Bombyx mori: one gene and its partners. The protein of the gene in region 3 purifies or fractionates together with the protein of the main gene of each other region. This does not show direct contact. Links are inferred from orthologs where the notes say so. Each region holds a gene or a part of one and is shown on either strand. Other genes may lie near its edges.

Region 1 (3,500 bases), on a different chromosome or scaffold from region 3:
GTACTGCGAAGTGATCACGCTTTCTAGTTTGAATGGTGTTTTAATTATTAAACAATATAAATGGGACGCACAATTTTACTCGCAAAAGTTATAATTTGCGTAATTACTGGTGGTAGGATGTCTTGTGAGTCCGCGCGCTACCCAGGTACCACCACCTATTTCTGCCGTAAAGCAGTAATGCGTTTCGGATTGAAGGTCGGAGCAGGCGTTGTAAATATACTGAGAGCTTAGATCTTATATCTCAAGGTGGGTGGCGCAATTACGTTGTAGATGCCTATGGACTCAAGTAACTACGTAACACCAGGTGGGCTGTGAGTTCGTCCACCCATCTAAGCAATAAAAAGCGGTAACGCGAGCAGCGAATTTCATGAGGCGGTCCTATGTCCAATGCGTGAGGACATTGGACCGTAAAGGGTTTGCTGTAATGTTTCTTGAGGTCCAAACATGTGATAACAGTGGTTCATCAGCCATTTGATGTCTGTGCTGGGTCGCGTTTCCGATCCGGTGGTAGATTCTGCGAAGCACTGCTCTTGCTAGGGTTCGTGTTAGCAACATCGTCAGGTTTGAGCCCCGTGAGCTCACCCACATGTTAGGGCGAAGCTGAAATAGCCTCTCAAGGCTATCAACATAGGTAGGAAAAACAACACCTTTCTTGCTTCACGGCAGAAACAGGGGGTGGTACCTACCCGCGCGGACTCACAAGACGTCCTGCCACCAGTAAAAGGCTGAAAGTTCAGTTGACAAAAGACCTACCGAGCAAAGTTCTGGATCTTCTTCGGCATAGTGGCGCTGAACAGTAACGTCTGTCTCTGCCCGGCGAAGTAAGAGAATATCGTTCGCACGTCCTCTTCGAAGCCCATGTCGATCATGCGATCAGCTTCGTCCATGCAGAGGTACCGGCAGACGTTGAGCCGGACCTGGACGTAAACGGATAATTGGGAACCAAACACGCACGGATATCCGGCCCTCAAATTCAGGGTTCCCTGTGTTTTATCGGTACCGGAGACTGATGTATTTATTTATTTATTACACTTAATGTAAATTTTTGATTGGCAGACTTAATACCTAAGGCCTTATCTACTGGTCAACCAAAGGGAGTGCAGAGTAAATAGTGGTAGGTGCAATGAAATTTATATTAAATTACAAATACATACACATATACTTACATACATACATAGTTACATAAATACATATATCTATATATTAATACGTGAAGCAAAAACTTTGTAACCCTTTTTACGAAAATTGCGCGGTCGGACAAGTATGATATTTTCCACGCTTATAGAGAATATAGAGAAGGAATGCACAATGATAATATTTTTTTTTAATTTTGCATAAAAAATAGATGAAGTCAATTAAAAAAAAACATTAAACACACTACCATGTATTTGACACAAAACGCTTTGTTTATTATCAAACTTTTCTTATTATTTAAATTCTGTGATCAAATTGAGAATAAATTAATATTGTTTATCTTTAATATTATTTGTCTATAGCGACTCTTGGCGAAATCTATGATTATAGAAGCATAAATAGTCTTTGACAATAGAACCAATAACAATAATGTTCAAACTTATAATTTCAATTAAATATACTCGAATTTGGACTACCGAAGCACCACTAGTACGTTTAAATATATACATATATATAGATTATAAATAAAGAGCAAAAAAATTTGTTTATCACATAAATATTTGCCTGAAGCGGAAATCGAACCTGCGAACCTCGGCACAGCAGTCATGGGTGTTAACTGCTGCTCCACCGGATCAGTCAAAATTAAGTTCTATCCTGATCGACTTGGGGGAGGGTGATGGGAGAGATGTGCTCCGCACTAAGCGCTTCACTCTCCCCTTTGCCTTTTCATGAGTTCTGTCTCATGCGAGGCACGGACGTGGGTTGTTGAGCGACAGGAGGTTTAAGTCGGTTTGACTCCAACATGCCCCACCCGCCATCCCCCGTGGAGGGTGGGAGTCCAGCGACTTCCTCGTGATAAAAAAAAAAAGAAAATCCTGATCGTCTTACCATCTTTTTATCCAGCATATCCATCAGCCTCCCCGGCGTTGCCACCATGATGTGAACGCCTTTCTGGACCACCTCCATGCATTCGGAGACGGCTACGCCTACCATCGAAAATTCCTAACTTAAGATACTAAATCAGGGCATTCTTTTTAATAGCATAGCTTTGAGCGCGGCGACCGAATCAAGAAATTCTGTAACGAAAATAAAACCTAACACCCCCACTCCGCCTACATGTAGCTCGCGTTCAACACATTCACACGTTTTTTTATTTTATTTTATTGCTTAGATGTGTGGACGAGCTCACAGCCCACCTGGTGTTAAGTGGTTACTGGAGCCCATAGACATCTACAACGTAAATGCGCCACCCACCTTGAGATATAAGTTGTAAGGTCTCAGTATAGTTACAACGGCTGCCCCACCCTTCAAACCGAAACGCATTACTGCTTCACGGCAGAAATAGACAGGGCGGTGGTACCTACCCGCGCGGACTCACAACAGGTCCTACCACCAGTAATTACGCAAATTATAATTTTGCGGGTTTCACTTTTATTACACGATATTATTCCTTCACCGTGGAAGTCAATCGTGAACATTTGTTGAGTACGTATTTCATTAGAAAAATTGGTACCCGCCTGCGGGATTCGAACACCGGTGCATCGCTTCAACACGAATGTACCGGGTGTCTTATCCGTTAGACCACGACGACTTGCGTTGCGCCTGTGTAGTGTTTGTGAATAAGCGCGCGGCGTGACGTCACACTGCGTGCGCATCATGAAAAGTCTGCCCATCTCTCTCTCTCGCGCGCTCTAGCTTATGAGTGTGAAGGGGACAGTTAATGTTTTGCTTTTGTTAATGTTTATAAATATAGCGTGGTCTTATTTTATTAGTGAGATATAAGTTCTAAGGTCTCCAATATGATTACAGCTATTGGGGCGCGGTACCTCCGATGGCGAGGCAGCTGCGGATCTCGGGGCTCCCGGTTAGCTTGAGGTGCCTGATGAAGTGTTGTATTATGTCGTGGGTCTGCTTGGCGAGCTCGCGCGAGGGACAGATGATCAGGCCGTAGGGACCCTCATTCCTAGAAGGAACAATTAGTGTTTCAGAACTCCTGAGACAACTGGTAGGCATATTGACTATTGGGCTCTCGAGAAGTCGGGAGAGTAAGCACTGATGGTAGGACGTCTTCTGAGTCCGCGCGGGTAGGTATCACCGCTCTGCCTATTTCTGCCGTGAAGCAGTTTGAAGGGTGGGGCAGCCGTTGTAACTATATTGAGACTTTAGAACTCATGTCTCAAGGTGGGTGGCGTATTTACGTTGTACATGTCTATGGCCTCCAGTACCCATTTCACATTAGATGGGCTGTGAGCTCGTCCATCCATCAAAGCAATAAATAAAAATACACACACACACACAAAAGTGTATGTATCTGATGCAGGAAAAATTATTAAGATATTTAATTCATGAACTAATCGATTAAAAAC
Region 2 (3,500 bases), on a different chromosome or scaffold from region 3:
TCCGTGGTTGTAGGCTATCGATCGCCTCCTTGACCTCGGAAGTGGTAATGGGGGGTAACGCGTCCGAGGGCGGCAGGGAAGCTCTGCGCTCGACCTCCCTGTCGACGAACTCGGTGTGTTCGGGGTCCGCGTGTTGAGTGCTGGTGGTGCACTGCTCTTGCAGTGCATCGGCCAGCAACTCTGCCTTGTCATCGTCATCGTAAGCCGGTGGTTGGCCTGAGGGGCGTACGAGAGGCGGCATAGTGGCTATAGTTTCGGACTTGAGGGTCCTAGCTAGTTGCCAGTATGCTTGGTGAGTGTGCGCGAGTTCTTCTAAATAACTATCCCAGTTTTCGTTTCGGGCGTCGCTTAAGCGGGATTTGACCTCCCGCTGTAAGCGACGCATCCGAGTCCGGTTTGAATCCGTGGGATATCGATCGTAGGCCCGGATTGCCGCGTTTCTAATTCTAACGAGGTCCCTAAGTTCGGGGGAAAGTCTGATGCGGTGGAAGCAGTCCTCCACATCGACTTGTTTCGAGGATCTTATGATCGCCGTCGAGACGTGATCAGTGAAGATGTTTATGGATTCGACGGTATCCTCGGGGGATGGAGTTGAATCCGGGCCGCAAGGGAGGATTGGTGGAGCGGTGTCAGCTAAGCACGTGCCCAGCTTCTTCCAATCCACCATGGTCCTCGTATCTGGTTCGCGGTTGAGTGGGCGACCGAGCTGCATGACGACAGGTCGGTGGTCTGAGTCGAGTTCTGACATTGCCTCGATGGAGCGTAAGCGCAGAGTTACGTTCCTCAGTAGTGCCAGATCTATTGTGCTCGGACGACGCGCGGCGTTGTACGGATAGCACGTGGGGGTCGGGGGGTTGAATACTTCGAATGTGAGGTTGTCTATGAACGCGTCGAGACGCCTACCGTTCACATTCGTGCGATGGCAGTTCCACCTAGTGTGGTGGCAATTTAAATCGCCTGCCAGGATGACCGCGTCCCCCATACCGAACAGTGTCTCGAGGTCACTGCTCAGGAGGGGTTTGTCAGGGGGGAGATAAACGGATGCGATGACGATCGGCTGGTGTCCCGTCAGCGCGATGCGGCACACTGACGCCTCGATATGTAAGAGCGAGGGAGTATCGAGAGGGACGCAGTGCAGGGCCCTCCTATAGTAAATGACAGTCCCGCCCTTGCGGGCGGAGAGTCTGTCATTCCTAACCATGACGTAATTCGCGACTTTGGGGTCGCGACGCGAGGGCTTTAGGAAGGTCTCCTGCACCAGAAGGATGTCGATGAGATTATCGCGGAGAAACTCATATACTTGATCGCGCTGACGCGCGAGTCCGTTAGCATTATAAAATGCTAACTTTATGGAACGCGGTTTTTCCCTACTGTTGCACGCCATTGATTACCGGTAATCAAACCAGCGTGCGCTGGACGGACTCGATGACGTCGATGTACTCGAACGTCGCGTTTAGGCGGTCTTCGGCCGTGACCGCTCTGCGCATGGCGTCGGCGAACGCACGCATGCGGTCGATGTTTATCGCGGCGATGTAGTCGCGAATAATTGTAAAATCGTTTGAGTGCGCGGGGCCGGGGCGAGGCGCGGGACCGGGCGCGGGCGCGGGGGCGGGGCGCGGCGCGAGTAGAGGTTGCGGCGCGTACCGCGGTTGGGGTGCCGGTGTCGTTCCTGCCTTCGTGAACGGCAACGGTTTCGCCCACGCGGAGACGGTGGGCACCGGAGCCGGTACGAAAGCCGGTTTCGGCGCGCGGGGCGCCGAAGTCTTTGGGCCAGCGGTTTTAGGGGGCGCGTTTGCCGGGCGCTTCCGTGGAGCCTTGGGGCATCCACGGTAGTTGGCCGTGTGTCCCTGCTTGCGGCAGAGTACACAGCTCGGCGGCTCCGTCGCTGTCTCCTTCACGCGCGAGCAATCGGTGGTCGCGTGATCGTCTAAACATTTCACGCAACGCGGTCGCGCGTTGCAGTTACGCGCGGAGTGGCCATATAACTGGCAACGGTGGCACTGCCCGGGAGTGCCGCGTTTGTAGGGGGCCTCTACGGTGACCCCCGATAGGCCGCACACGGTGCGGAGACATGAGGCAATTTTCTTGCCCTCCGGTGTGGCTTCTAGTGCTAATTGATTTCAAGATTGGAGCGAAATGTAAGTATTTAAATATTCTATTGTTCCTTTTCATCACCTATGTTACCATGTTTGACATAGACATTTCTTATTTTCACTATGCTTTTAGTTTGTTAAAAGTAAATGGATCTAATATTAGGAGAGAGGAGTGAGTCTTACAATCAATGATTTCTAATGTAAGCATTTTTTTTATACAAGCCTTTCTTTAATTTAGCTTGTTTCTGTATATTGGAAAAAAAAACAATAAACATACTTATTGGAAACATTTGGTGGTTGTATTTCTTCAGTTTCTACTTCTTGAACTACAGATGGGTCCTCATTGTCACTTAATTCATCCTCCTTCAAATCTTCATCTAACATTTCTTCTGTTACCGTTTCAGTTTTGCTTTTCACAGTCTGCTTTTATAATGTACATTTTAATTTATAATGTGGTTCCCATTTACAATACCGCCAATTATATTGGCAATGATAAATATTTCAAATACGTAAAATAAATAAATTTATACAGATACATAAAATTGGAGTGTCTGTTTGTAATATTGAAATAACCACTTACTACATGCATATGAATATATATATATATGGTACACACACCAAAATAACATTTTTTACAGTTTTTGTCTGTCTGTCTGTCTGTCTGTTCCAGCTAATCTCTGGAACGGCTGGGCCGATTTTGACGAGACTTTCACTGATAGGTAGCTGATGATATAACGAGTAACTTAGGCTACTTTTTTTAGACTAGCTTTACCCCGCGGCGTTACCCGCGGTAAGACAATAACCGCGGTTAACATGGCGGGACTCGCCTATCAATAATAAAATTTAATGTTTCCGAAGCGAAGCGAGGGCGGGTCGCTAGTATAAAGTACGATTTTTCTGATAACACAGGCACACACGACGCTTCTTATGTGCCTGCACACGTAAGTATCACCACCGGAGTTATTTCTGCAGTAATGCGTTCCAGTTTGCAGGGTGGCCCCACCCGTTTTTATAGAATTGAGACCTTAAAGTGCATGTTAATTCACTTAATGATACCTATGACCTCTGATAATCACTTAGCGGCTGGTAGGCTGTGAGCTCAGTCAACCAACTGTGATATTAATGAAAAAATAATAATTTATATGAATATTTTTTACCTCTTTCATTTGATAGTTAGGCATAAAAACTTTTAAGTCAGGCAAGCATGTATAGAATGTTCTAGAATCTTCGTCCTGCCAAGGATCAGTACCGGCTTGCATAGTGATGTCTTCATTGCCACCAATGGTTACACTTCCTTGAGTCTCTATAACAGTCAGGGACAAAGTGGGAGGTTCACCAGCTTCACCCAAATCTTCTCCAAGAACTTCAGCAAAATTTTGTGCATTTACTAGTAGCTTGTCATAAGTT
Region 3 (4,066 bases):
TTTTTTTTTTTTTGTCAATGCATTATCGATTGCACCTAAATTCATGCCATCTGCCGTGTACTTTTGTCAGTTTTTCAATGTTTTTATTGATGATCACTTTGTTATTGCAACTAAATAAAATAATTGATTAAAATCAAGGAGTGCAAGCTCTAGCTAATTTCTGGGTAAATAGGGATAGCACCTATTTTTGCTTTCTTAGCTTAAACTCGAATGCTAATTGCATAGCTTTAAATTGGATAACAAAGATACCCCCAAGACTCAATCATTTTGATCCTGATATAGCATTTTAAACATCAACAACTACCTTAAAATTGTTCATCAAGTTGGAATTTGTCCCTAACCACCCCGTTTTACCAGTACATACTGTTCTATGGATTTTTCTATAATTTCTACGGACTTTTTGGCGGGAATGCGAGGAGTGAAGTTGTGTGATTTGTTTTATTTTGTCTATTTAGTGTTTCTTCGGGTTTAAATGTGTAATAATGGTGGTTTATTAACCGTTTAATATCTGTGAAAGTGCACAAATGTGGGAAAATGAAACAAAGCCGCTGGACGTAACTTCTCGGGATCCTCCAAAAAGTCCATTGAAAAAATCTTAGTAAATGACCACCATTTTACTGAGATTAGATTTCATCTCATATCATCTCATTTAATTTCATCCCAGTTGATTAATGTCTCAAATTAATCATTTTCATTTCATTTCACTCCATAATATCATTTTTCATAAAATTAAGAATATACATTAAAATAAGATATGACTTAAAGGTCTCAGTTACCAGGTCATAAAATCTCTAAAAATATAATTTCTACAGGACTTTTTGGCGGGAACGCGAGGAGTGAAGTTGTGTGATTTATTTTATTTTGTCTATTTAATGTTTTTTCGGGTTTAAATGTGTAATAATGGTGGTTTATTAACTGTTTAATATCTTTCATTTTCCCTCATAATATAAATGAGGGAAAATAAAAGAAAGCCGCTGGACGTAACTTCTCAGGATCCTCCAAAAAGTCCACGGAAAAAGTCTTAGTAAATGACCACCATTTTACTGAGATTATATTTCATCCCATATCATCTCATTTCATTTCATTTAATTTCATCCCAGTTGATTGATGTCAATGTCAAATTAATCATCTTCATTTCATTTCACTTCATAATATCATTTTTCATAAAAATATGAATATAAATTAAAATAAGACATGCCTTAAAGGTCTCAGTTACCAGGTCATAAAATCCCTTAAAAACTAAATAATTTCTACACAATCTGTAATTGACAACTGATCTGTATTAACATAGATAATATCTATGCATAGATTATACACTTAATATTATCTATGAACTGATCGTGGTCGGCAAATGACGCTATCGGATTTCGAAGACGACATTGTTTTACTAAGGTTTTACATTCATGAAACGTAAATAAAAACATAGTAGGTTGAAAATGTAAGTGTTTCCTCAACTTATTCTATAAAAATTCTACTATTGTACATTTAGAGAGGCCCGTTAACATGTTTCATTTCAATACCAGGGCTAGAAATAAATCGCCTTTGCCTGCAGCTGAGAAAGAGAAGAAGAAACCCAAAGAAAGCAAGAAAAAGAAAGGTGACTCAGGCTCCAGCAGCAGTGATAGTAGTGGAAGGTATCCCAACTAATGTATTATTAAGATTTGTAACACAATTCTTTGGAGGTTATGTTAAAAGCGGGCTTTCTTTCTTCAACGGAAGTTATAATAAGAAATAGTCAACTTACTATACACTACTAGAAAAACCAAATAGATACAAAAAACCCACGCAAATTGTTAATATCTTGCTGAAGTGATTATTGGTACAAACTAAATAATGAAAGTACATAAGCCTTATCCTGGGAGTTACTTTCTCAACCAATATAATTTAAATCTATTTTCAGTTCATCAAGTAGTTCTTCAAGGTCATCCTCTCGGTCATCATCCAGTAGCTCAGGAAGTTCATCACGTTCATCTTCATCATCCAGCTCATCTAGCAGTAGCAGCAGTAACAATGGCCGTTCAAGGCCTAAGAAAAAGTAAGCTTAAAATTATAAGATAAGGATTAATATAATTATTATTAAACAATCTGCAATTTCTTAAGCCAAAGCGAAGTTTTTATTCAGTACTAGCTGAACCGGCAGACATCGTAAACCAAAATTAGCCAAATCAGTCCAACTGTTCTCGAGTTTTAGCGAGACTAACGAACACCAATTCATTATAGATGTTCATATTTTGTTAAATTTTGATAATATTATGGGGGGCACTCCATACAATCCTGCAATAAGGTTGAAGGTCAGATAGATCTTTAATAAGTTACAGTATATGCTGAGTAGACCATCAAAATGTAGAGCAAATCAGGTTTTTAGAAAAAGCCATCTGCTTTATATGTTAGCTAAATATGTTATGATACATTCTGTACTGAAGGAATAGGGCGTAGTTATAGTTCTTCAATCTCATGTTTCGAGGTGAATGACTGCATCAATATTGTGATATGTAAGGGCTCCATTAACACTAGATGGCCACAATCCTATCCACATCTAATGGAAAAATATTGCACTGGTAGGTTGTTATTGAAACAATCAATAACAATATTGAACAGTAGGTATTTAAACAGTACTTAATTTAACTAAAACAATATTTAATTTTCTATAATTTAGTAGAAATCTGAAAGTGATTACTCCTAAGCCCATAATAGGTCTTCTTTTTTCTACAATATGATATCTGATTCAGGAAATATAATATTCATGTAATAACCTGATATATGAGTCGTCTATTATCAAAGGCGGCAATCTGTGCATTTGGACAAAAAAAAATTATTGATATGTCAATACAGATTGATTTGAATATAATCGTCTTCTTCAAAGAATACGGTTCAAAACCTGCATTAAATAAAGGTTAATACTTAACCTGTTATTTATCTAAGATGTCGATCGGAAGAGTTTTGTGACTGCCAATGGAATACAAAGTCAATAATTTGTTTTCTGATTTACCAATAATTATCCAAAAGTCACATTGCCGGCTTTGATAATAGTTGACTCATATATAGTTTTCTTTATAATGCAGGGACGGAAAGCCACAAGTAAATTATTAATTTATTTCATGATCATTACAGTACTAATTAAAAGAGAAAAAAATACAATCAGAATTGAAACACTATTTGATAAAATAATAATTTGAAGTCAATGAAATTGATCAAAGCTTTTAAAATGTTTTTTTTTTATGTTTGGGCATCATGCATGTTAAGATTGCTAACCTGACCATACATTTTCTTTATTTTTAGAACAATTTCACCAAACAAGAGTCCACTTAAAGATCGTCGTGATGCTGATCGGGAGAAGATTAGAGATAGATCACCAACAGGAGAAAAAAAAAAATCTGTGTTACCTTTATCAAATGACAAAGCTAAAATTAAGGAAAAACAGGAACGGTACAAAACAGTTATTATTTTAAATTATAGCCTTAATACGCCATATTATGGCCCCTGGTAAAATAATAATAAGAATTTCTTTTTTTCTCTTCAGATCTCCAGGACGTAAGAAGCGAGAACGCTCACCACCACCACGACCAACTCGTATCCACATTGGACGACTGACTTTAAATGTAACGCGTGATCACATCCATGAAATATTTTCGACATATGGTACTGTGAAATCAATTGAGTTTCCTATGGACCGACTTCACCCACATAATGGAAGAGGATACGCATATGTTGAGTTTAATAATGCTGATGAAGCAGAAAATGCTATGAAGCACATGGACGGGGGTAACCAACTTAACACTTATCTTTTAACTTTAACCCTTAATATTTTTCTCCCTGTAGGGAAGTTTAATATTAAGTATGTGTTGGGGATGCACTGGAACAAATTCTCTATTTTATGTCTGCAAATTCAAATCTTTACCATGGAGCTTTTGTTGATTTTAATTCTTTATTGGTCACCAAAAAAATTCAGTCTGACTTGCACAAACCGGTAAAGATGTGACGAAAATTAGCATGGCATGGTCGCAAACGGACTACATGGCGGCAGGAGATAACAAATGTCTCCCAGATTCTAGACCTTGGCCCAAGA
Region 4 (3,375 bases), on a different chromosome or scaffold from region 3:
TTTTACAATAACCTTACACAGTGCTACTAATAACATTTTAAGTTTCTATTTATAAATAACAATAAAAAAGGATGAGTCTAAATGAAATATTCATCAATGTAACACGCAATTCCTTATGATCAGCATTAAAATTTATGTTCACACGATTTTGATTATTACTAATGTTTGCCCAAGGATTGAAACTTGACCATAGTCACTGAGGCCTCAAAATTTAAATAAGGTATTAAATTTTTGTTGTGTTTTTCATAAACTGTTAATATTAATGTTATATTTAGATTATGAAAGAAGAAAACATATTAAAGATGCAATAATTTGTAAAAAAAACGTGCACTGTTTTTCGATTTCTTAAACGAATGCTGTACTGGTATATGTAAGTAAGCAAAGTAATCGTATCATAAAAGGTATTCATTACATAGATATTAAAACTGAAAATCGGGTAAGAAACGGTTAAACAATTTATTGTGTTTATAAGGCAACCAAATGATTAAAATTAAGACACAAAAAAATAAATAAAAGACAAATAAAGAAATAGTTTATTTGGGAGTGGCGTATGTATGATCAGGCTACACGTCCTATGTTGTAATAAAATACAAAGATACTTCTTCACTAGAACTGACAGTAAAGTTTTCTTATAATTGCAAGTGGGGTCTCAGTTTCGGAAAATAATTTTTAACCACTTAAATAATATAAATCGACGACATTGATGAATATTTAAATTTATGAAATTTAACCTTTTATTGAAGTGCTTATGTTACAAATGAATTGAAAAACAGTTTTTTTTGTAGCATACGAACCAATGAATGTATTTTGATTAGAAACCGTATTTATATGTAGATAATCTGTTTTAAATTTGTAAGGCATCGTGCTTAACGATTCCGTATGATTGAATGCGAGTACGGAACTATTACAGGTCTCGAGACCGTCGCCGCTCCCGTTCACGTCGCAGGTCGCGGTCGAGGCGTCGCTCAGGACGCAGGTCACGCGACCGACGCTCACGTGATCGCCGCTCCAAAGACCGCCGCTCACGAGATAAGTCCAGGTAAACTATTCCTAATTTTAGTCGCAATACCTTCATTTTAAATTCTAACAAATTACTTGAATGAACTTCCTGTAAAGTATCAAAAAAGGTTGAACTAATTTTATTTGCTTTTTCTACAGAGAGCGGAAATCGCGCGATCGCTCCAGGAGATCCAGGGACAGGAAATCTCGCGATAGAAGGTCTAGCGATATTATCAAGGAGCGTTTAGAGAAATCTGTCTCGATTCCGAGAAAAGGTAATATATATGTTATTTTAGATATAGTGATAAACCCAAATAACATTTATTACTTAAAATAAGAAATGTTCATAATATATTAATTTAATTTTTTTTTTTTATAGAAAATAATGACAAATTACCCAAAAAGCCTGAGCACCTGCCTATTCCGCGTGAGCAATCTAAAGAGCGCATTATATCTAGCACAAGCCGAGAATCATCAGTAGCTGTTGAAAAACCCCCACCAGAACCTTTTAATGACGGAAAAACCCAGTCAGACCACACTGACGACGAAGAGAAAGAAGATATTGTAAATATTCCAAACCTGCGTGAATACTCAAAAAGTCTTTCACGCACTCCATCACCGTTCTTGCGAAGACATGAAATTGACAAAAATAAGAAATCTGATGAAGTTTCGGGAAAAGAGCAGAATGAGGACGAAATAAAAACCAAGGAATCCAAAAGAGCTAAACGTAAAGCCCATCAATCAGATTCTGAAAGTGCGAGTAGCGAGGAGCTATCGAAATCCAAAAGTAAGTCCAAAATCAAGCGTAAGGAGAAGGGTACATCTAAGAGAAATAAGAAACTCAAAAAAGAGAGCTCTTCTAGCGATAGCGATTCTGAGGAATCTTCTTCTAGTGAATCTGAAGAAGATAGGAAGAAGAAAAGCAAAAAGAATGCTAAAAAGAAGTTGGCCAAGAAATCAAGAAAGAAAAGAGCTCGCTCGTCGAGCTCCGACTCCAGTTCGGAAGAAGAAGTTAAACACAAGGCTTCAAAGACAAAACAAAAAAATGTCGTCGACGAATCTGATGTTGATAAGAAGTCTAAAAAACGCGCCAAGGATGCGAGTAGCGAAAGGTCAAGGTCTGAGAAAGTTGAAAACAAGCTCAAGTCCAAAAAAGTCGATTCTGAGGATTCCCAAGATGATAGTTCGGATACTGATGCAAAATCTAAGAAGAAAAACCCTAAACGTGATACTTCTAGTTCAGAAAAAGACCCAAAACGCGGTAAAAAAACTGACTCTATTAAGGAAAAAGCCTTATCACCAGAAGTTGCTAAATTAAAGAAAGTAGAGGATAAACCAGCAAAAGTGAAAGTAGACGATGCTAAACCTAAATCTCGTGACGAAAACGAGAAAAAACCTAAAAAGAGGGAAAAGGAAGAGTCCTCTTCTGAAAGTGACCAGGTGTCAAAGAAGAAAGCAAGGAAGAAGGTAACAGACTCAGAGTCAGATTCAGACAGTGATGAACCTAAGAAATCCAAGAAAAATAAGAAACATAAGAAGCATTCTAAAAAGCATAAGAAACACAAGAAGCATAAGAAATCATCAAAGAAAAAAGAGGATTCTTCTGATAGCGATGAAGCCGAGGAAGAAGAGGAAGAAGGAAAAGTTAATAACGAAGATTTGGAAAAGAAACTGAGAGAGAGAGCATTGAAGTCGATGAAGAAACAAACTAGTGTTTCTGGATCCGATTAGTGTTCGGTTTTTTTTCTATTTGACTTCTAAGAAAAATTTCATTGAACGTACAGCATGTTATTAAAATATTTTAATGAATTTGCTGAAACGATTTTAATTAACATATATTTCATATTGTTAGTAATAATAAATAAAATAATACGAATTCGTTTTATTTATTTAATATAATATATGTAAATACATTAGAGCATCTAATTTTTAATCCCAAATTAACTATCCCTTGCACCTAACCTTTGCAAGCCACTTGTGGTAATTTATATTCATATCTCTTTTGACCTTGGTAACATGATTGGGGGATAAAGACTAAAATACTATCTAATTGGTGTGTTGTGTTTGTACCGTCATCGAACTCCTATTGCTATAAAACTATTTAAACTTTGTAGCCATGTAGTCCCTTGTCCTTGTATTCCTTGATTTATCAGTCCATCAAGATCAAATAGTAGCCATTTATTAAGATATGTAAAAAAATAGAAATCGTAAATATTGGTTGGTGGCTGCGATGAGACGTGGCGGGAGATGCGCCAATCTCGCTAGGTTACAATCTTGCAGAAGTAGATGGAGGGGCCTGACACAGGGTTCTTTTGCGCATCAACCCGTTTCTATCGAGTCATCTATCAAGTCACGATTCTTCCCAATCTTGACTGC
Region 5 (3,500 bases), on a different chromosome or scaffold from region 3:
ACAGGGCTGCTTTGTCATCTCGGGTGCTGCCGAACCCACGCCGTCGCCCCAAACTCGCAGCGCAAGAACGACCACGGTGTGTACTCACACCCCCGAGACCGCCTGTGTGCAGGTATCGGACAAAGCCTAGCTTACATCAGGCTAGACCTCTCTACTTCTACCCATCGCCACAGGACTTTTGCTTATTCGGAGTCCATTAACGGAAGCGGTCAGATACGCAGGATATATTTAGGTGCGCAAACGTTTGCGCTCACGCAGGCGCACACCCTCGTCCTATCCCTTCTTGGATCAGTGGAACGGGAAACCGCTACGACTGAAGAAGGGGTTGGATGTTGTGTCTGGCCGACGGTGACTATATGCCCTCCACCATCGCCCTAGGCCATCCACCTTGCCTTGCTGACCTGCCGAGTCCGTCAAGTCACGTTGCATATCTGCGTTGTGTTGCCTTCCTCGCCAAGTCAGACTTTGTGTGTTAAGCGGGAGGGAGCCGCGTAAAGGGATGGGTATTAAGGAGATGAGGAGAAGAGGGAGTTAGGAGTAGGAAGGACAGGATACTGTAGCCACGGGAAAGTAGGTTGTGGTCTATAGTAGCTCAGGGAAGGCGGGATCGCGTGCCCGTGCACTCAGTAATATACTACCGGACAAATAGTATATTTGAGGGCCCCCTGCCTATGAGTTTCTAATACCGATTCAATTAACACTTTAACAGTAACTAATTTACTGGTGGTAGGACCTCTCGTGAGTCGGCGCGGGTAGGTACCACCGCCCTGCCTATTTCTGACGTGAAGCAGTAATGCGTTTCGGTCTGAAGGGTAAGGCAGCCGTTGTAACTATACTGAGATCTTAGAACTTATATCTCAAGGTGGGTGGTGCATTTAAGCTGTAGATGTCTATGGGTTCCAGTAACAATTTAACATCAGGTGGGCTGTGAGCTCGTCCACCCATCTAAGCAATAAAAAAAATAAAAAAGTTTAACTGATATCGTCGTAACTACCACAGATTATTACGCAGTCACCAGGTTAATAGTTTGTATTTTTACCTCGTTAGCGAGAGAGAACGGCTGCGCGTGCGGCGTCTTCTTGGCGACCACGGTGAACGTCGCAAGCGGCCGCGCGACATCGAACGCGACCTACAAGATTTATGTAAATTTAATTTAATTCGACTTTGACGAGACTAACTTGAAATTATATTAGCAAGCATTATTTTATTAATAAATCTTCCTTCATAAATAAACCACAACCCATTATGACTATAATGATTATCGGATACTGTACTACAAAAAAAACAAGAGAATAATAGGTAACGAGTTCGACGACCCACGTATTATGCAAATCTCAGACGAACATGCTAAGTTTAGATCTACACAAAGAAGCGACATGCAAAAAGCGATCGATTATGGACAATCTTAGGTCGGTCAGAAGTAAATCATATTATTTCATAAATCAAAAAGCATCTTATTACAAAGGCACTAAATGAACGAAACGAAATATTTCGTCTTGTGACAATGACGTTAACGAGATGTCAGTTTAAATGTTCGTTTTCGTTTAGTTCTCACGGGAGGGGAGGGAGCGATAGATGCGAGCGAACCTAGAGTACCGCGGGCGGCTGGAGGCGCGGCTGCGGGCGCGAACGCGCGGCGTGCGTGAGCGCGTGCGGGTGCGCGTGCGAGAACGGGAGCGAGAGCGAGACGGAGACAGCTCGCGGCGCCGCTCCTCCTCACGCCGCTTGGCTCGCATCTCCTTCTCGCGTATCATCCGGTTGAAAGCCTCCAGCGGATCCTCACCCGGCCTACGACAATGCGTCTGAGTTAAACAAACGCCCTTAACCGAACTCAATTCTCCATGGATTTTTAAACCAATACTTGACCATGCCCTTTTTTTAATTGTTCTAAAAATACTCTGGAGAGCCATTTCGAGAAAAACATTTTATAAAGTCGAAAATGAAACTAAAATTGATAATCTAATTTACAACGCTCCTTTTAAATCAATAAATTGCAAACTGAACACTAAAATGAAGAAAACAAAGATAAGATCCAAAATATCGAATAGAATTAAACATTGGAAATGACTTTATTTGATGTTAGATATTAACGGCCCCTTTATAAATGTAAAATATTTATATCAATAAGAAACAAAACTCAGATAGAATATCCTAAAATAAATTTACTGAAGCTAATTTGGTATATTTTATTATTGATCTGACTAATGCCACCACAACACATTGTGATTCTATAATTATGTGTAAGGGTTAAAACAGTATTTTTCCTTGGATATTAAATTTCTTTTTAAATGCAATTATATCTGCATTCCTTCAAATATAAAAAAGTGATTACATTTACCTGTTAGAAGGCGACTCTTTGATACCGGGTGGAGGTGGTTGATACGGTTCAGGAGGAAAACGCTCAACAAATCCAGGACCGGGCGGCGGACCGAATCGCGGTGGACTAGTTTCAAACGAAAAAAAACATTCATAGTTAAATCTAATTAGCGAGCAAAATCATGTCATCATGAAATTACAAGAAAATCAGTCTTACTCGTTAAAACGTTGAGGTGGTTGCGATGCTCCATGAGCGAACGGGTGAGGACCTCGATTGTACGGAATCTGCCAAAAGTAGTATTTATTTCATTTAATGATAAGAAACCTGGTACTTAACAAGTATATCATAAATTTTATAAAAAAAATTACCTGAGAAGACATTGGATCTCTTCGTTCCATTGGTTCTCTTCGTTCATCTATTGTTGGAGTGCTAGCCCTTTGTTCTTCAATTCTAGGTAACTGAAAGAAACAAATATTTACCATTCGTTTTGGAACATTCCACAACAAAAATAAAATCATACATATGTATCTAAACTTACATTGAGTGGTATGGATGAATTTGGATTTTCGACAACTGGTTTTATCATCGGTTGATGGCCTGTAACAATTTTTTAAACTATTATGTACGGAGTATTAAAATATTACATTAACATTGAACCAATAAATACCAAGACATACAGTGAGGTGAACTCTACACGCAAGTTCATGCACTAACACCATTAACATTTATTCATTATAAATTATTATTCTATGACAAGACAGATACAATGCTTTAAAATAATAATTGAAAAATGTGTTTGTAGTTTTAAATTTCATTTAAGTCTTTACTACTAGCTTTAAAAAGCTACATTAAACTGCTCAAGAAAATACTCTCGTGGTAGGGATATATTTTATGACTTGCATTTGCATTTGTTTGCTGTTTGTTTATGTTTTTTTTTTATATAACGACATTACGACTTATTTGGACCGAACAAAATTAATCTAAATTGCGCACCGTCGTAGTCCAAACGTTTTGTACGTAATGCTACAGTCATATACGCAAAGGAGACATTTTGGTAAACCGGGCTACGCTTTACGTACTGGAGTAATCCACCAATGCAGATTTACGACTGTTATATCGAATTGACAAGCAAAACTAAATAGGTAGTTTAAGTACCAATCGTCAATCTCCTCAATGTTGTCAA

What was found. Proteins that work in one complex are often made in the same cells at the same time.
Region 1: the proteins of ribonucleic acid binding protein S1 (region 3) and ATP-dependent RNA helicase abstrakt purify together in Homo sapiens (co-immunoprecipitation; 3 studies listed by BioGRID and IntAct, with this or other methods). This does not show direct contact. The link is inferred for Bombyx mori from reciprocal best matches to the Homo sapiens genes RNPS1 and DDX41.
Region 2: the proteins of ribonucleic acid binding protein S1 (region 3) and regulator of nonsense transcripts 2 purify together in Homo sapiens (co-immunoprecipitation; 5 studies listed by BioGRID and IntAct, with this or other methods). This does not show direct contact. The link is inferred for Bombyx mori from reciprocal best matches to the Homo sapiens genes RNPS1 and UPF2.
Region 4: the proteins of ribonucleic acid binding protein S1 (region 3) and serine/arginine repetitive matrix protein 1 purify together in Homo sapiens (co-immunoprecipitation; 4 studies listed by BioGRID and IntAct, with this or other methods). This does not show direct contact. The link is inferred for Bombyx mori from reciprocal best matches to the Homo sapiens genes RNPS1 and SRRM1.
Region 5: the proteins of ribonucleic acid binding protein S1 (region 3) and E3 ubiquitin-protein ligase RBBP6 purify together in Homo sapiens (co-immunoprecipitation; 3 studies listed by BioGRID and IntAct, with this or other methods). This does not show direct contact. The link is inferred for Bombyx mori from reciprocal best matches to the Homo sapiens genes RNPS1 and RBBP6.

Annotation. Positions count from the first base shown.
Region 1 is NC_085117.1:2,828,255-2,831,754, reverse strand, and holds part of ATP-dependent RNA helicase abstrakt, read right to left. Parts: intron 3,098-3,500; coding exon 2,961-3,097; intron 2,121-2,960; coding exon 2,023-2,120; intron 918-2,022; coding exon 754-917; intron 1-753. UniProt on the Homo sapiens protein: Multifunctional protein that participates in many aspects of cellular RNA metabolism. Plays pivotal roles in innate immune sensing and hematopoietic homeostasis.
Region 2 is NC_085110.1:14,017,255-14,020,754, forward strand, and holds part of regulator of nonsense transcripts 2, read right to left. Parts: coding exon 3,251-3,500; intron 2,517-3,250; coding exon 2,371-2,516; intron 1-2,370. UniProt on the Homo sapiens protein: Involved in nonsense-mediated decay (NMD) of mRNAs containing premature stop codons by associating with the nuclear exon junction complex (EJC).
Region 3 is NC_085114.1:7,346,608-7,350,673, forward strand, and holds the start of ribonucleic acid binding protein S1, read left to right. Parts: upstream 1-1,266; 5' UTR 1,267-1,436; coding exon 1,437-1,438; intron 1,439-1,523; coding exon 1,524-1,634; intron 1,635-1,900; coding exon 1,901-2,035; intron 2,036-3,279; coding exon 3,280-3,426; intron 3,427-3,520; coding exon 3,521-3,762; intron 3,763-4,066. UniProt on the Homo sapiens protein: Part of pre- and post-splicing multiprotein mRNP complexes. Auxiliary component of the splicing-dependent multiprotein exon junction complex (EJC) deposited at splice junction on mRNAs.
Region 4 is NC_085128.1:8,268,453-8,271,827, forward strand, and holds the end of serine/arginine repetitive matrix protein 1, read left to right. Parts: intron 1-910; coding exon 911-1,039; intron 1,040-1,158; coding exon 1,159-1,274; intron 1,275-1,378; coding exon 1,379-2,730; 3' UTR 2,731-2,875; downstream 2,876-3,375. UniProt on the Homo sapiens protein: Part of pre- and post-splicing multiprotein mRNP complexes. As a component of the minor spliceosome, involved in the splicing of U12-type introns in pre-mRNAs. Involved in numerous pre-mRNA processing events.
Region 5 is NC_085123.1:7,892,376-7,895,875, reverse strand, and holds part of E3 ubiquitin-protein ligase RBBP6, read right to left. Parts: intron 2,915-3,500; coding exon 2,856-2,914; intron 2,776-2,855; coding exon 2,686-2,775; intron 2,602-2,685; coding exon 2,534-2,601; intron 2,444-2,533; coding exon 2,339-2,443; intron 1,789-2,338; coding exon 1,588-1,788; intron 1,130-1,587; coding exon 1,040-1,129; intron 1-1,039. UniProt on the Homo sapiens protein: E3 ubiquitin-protein ligase which promotes ubiquitination of YBX1, leading to its degradation by the proteasome.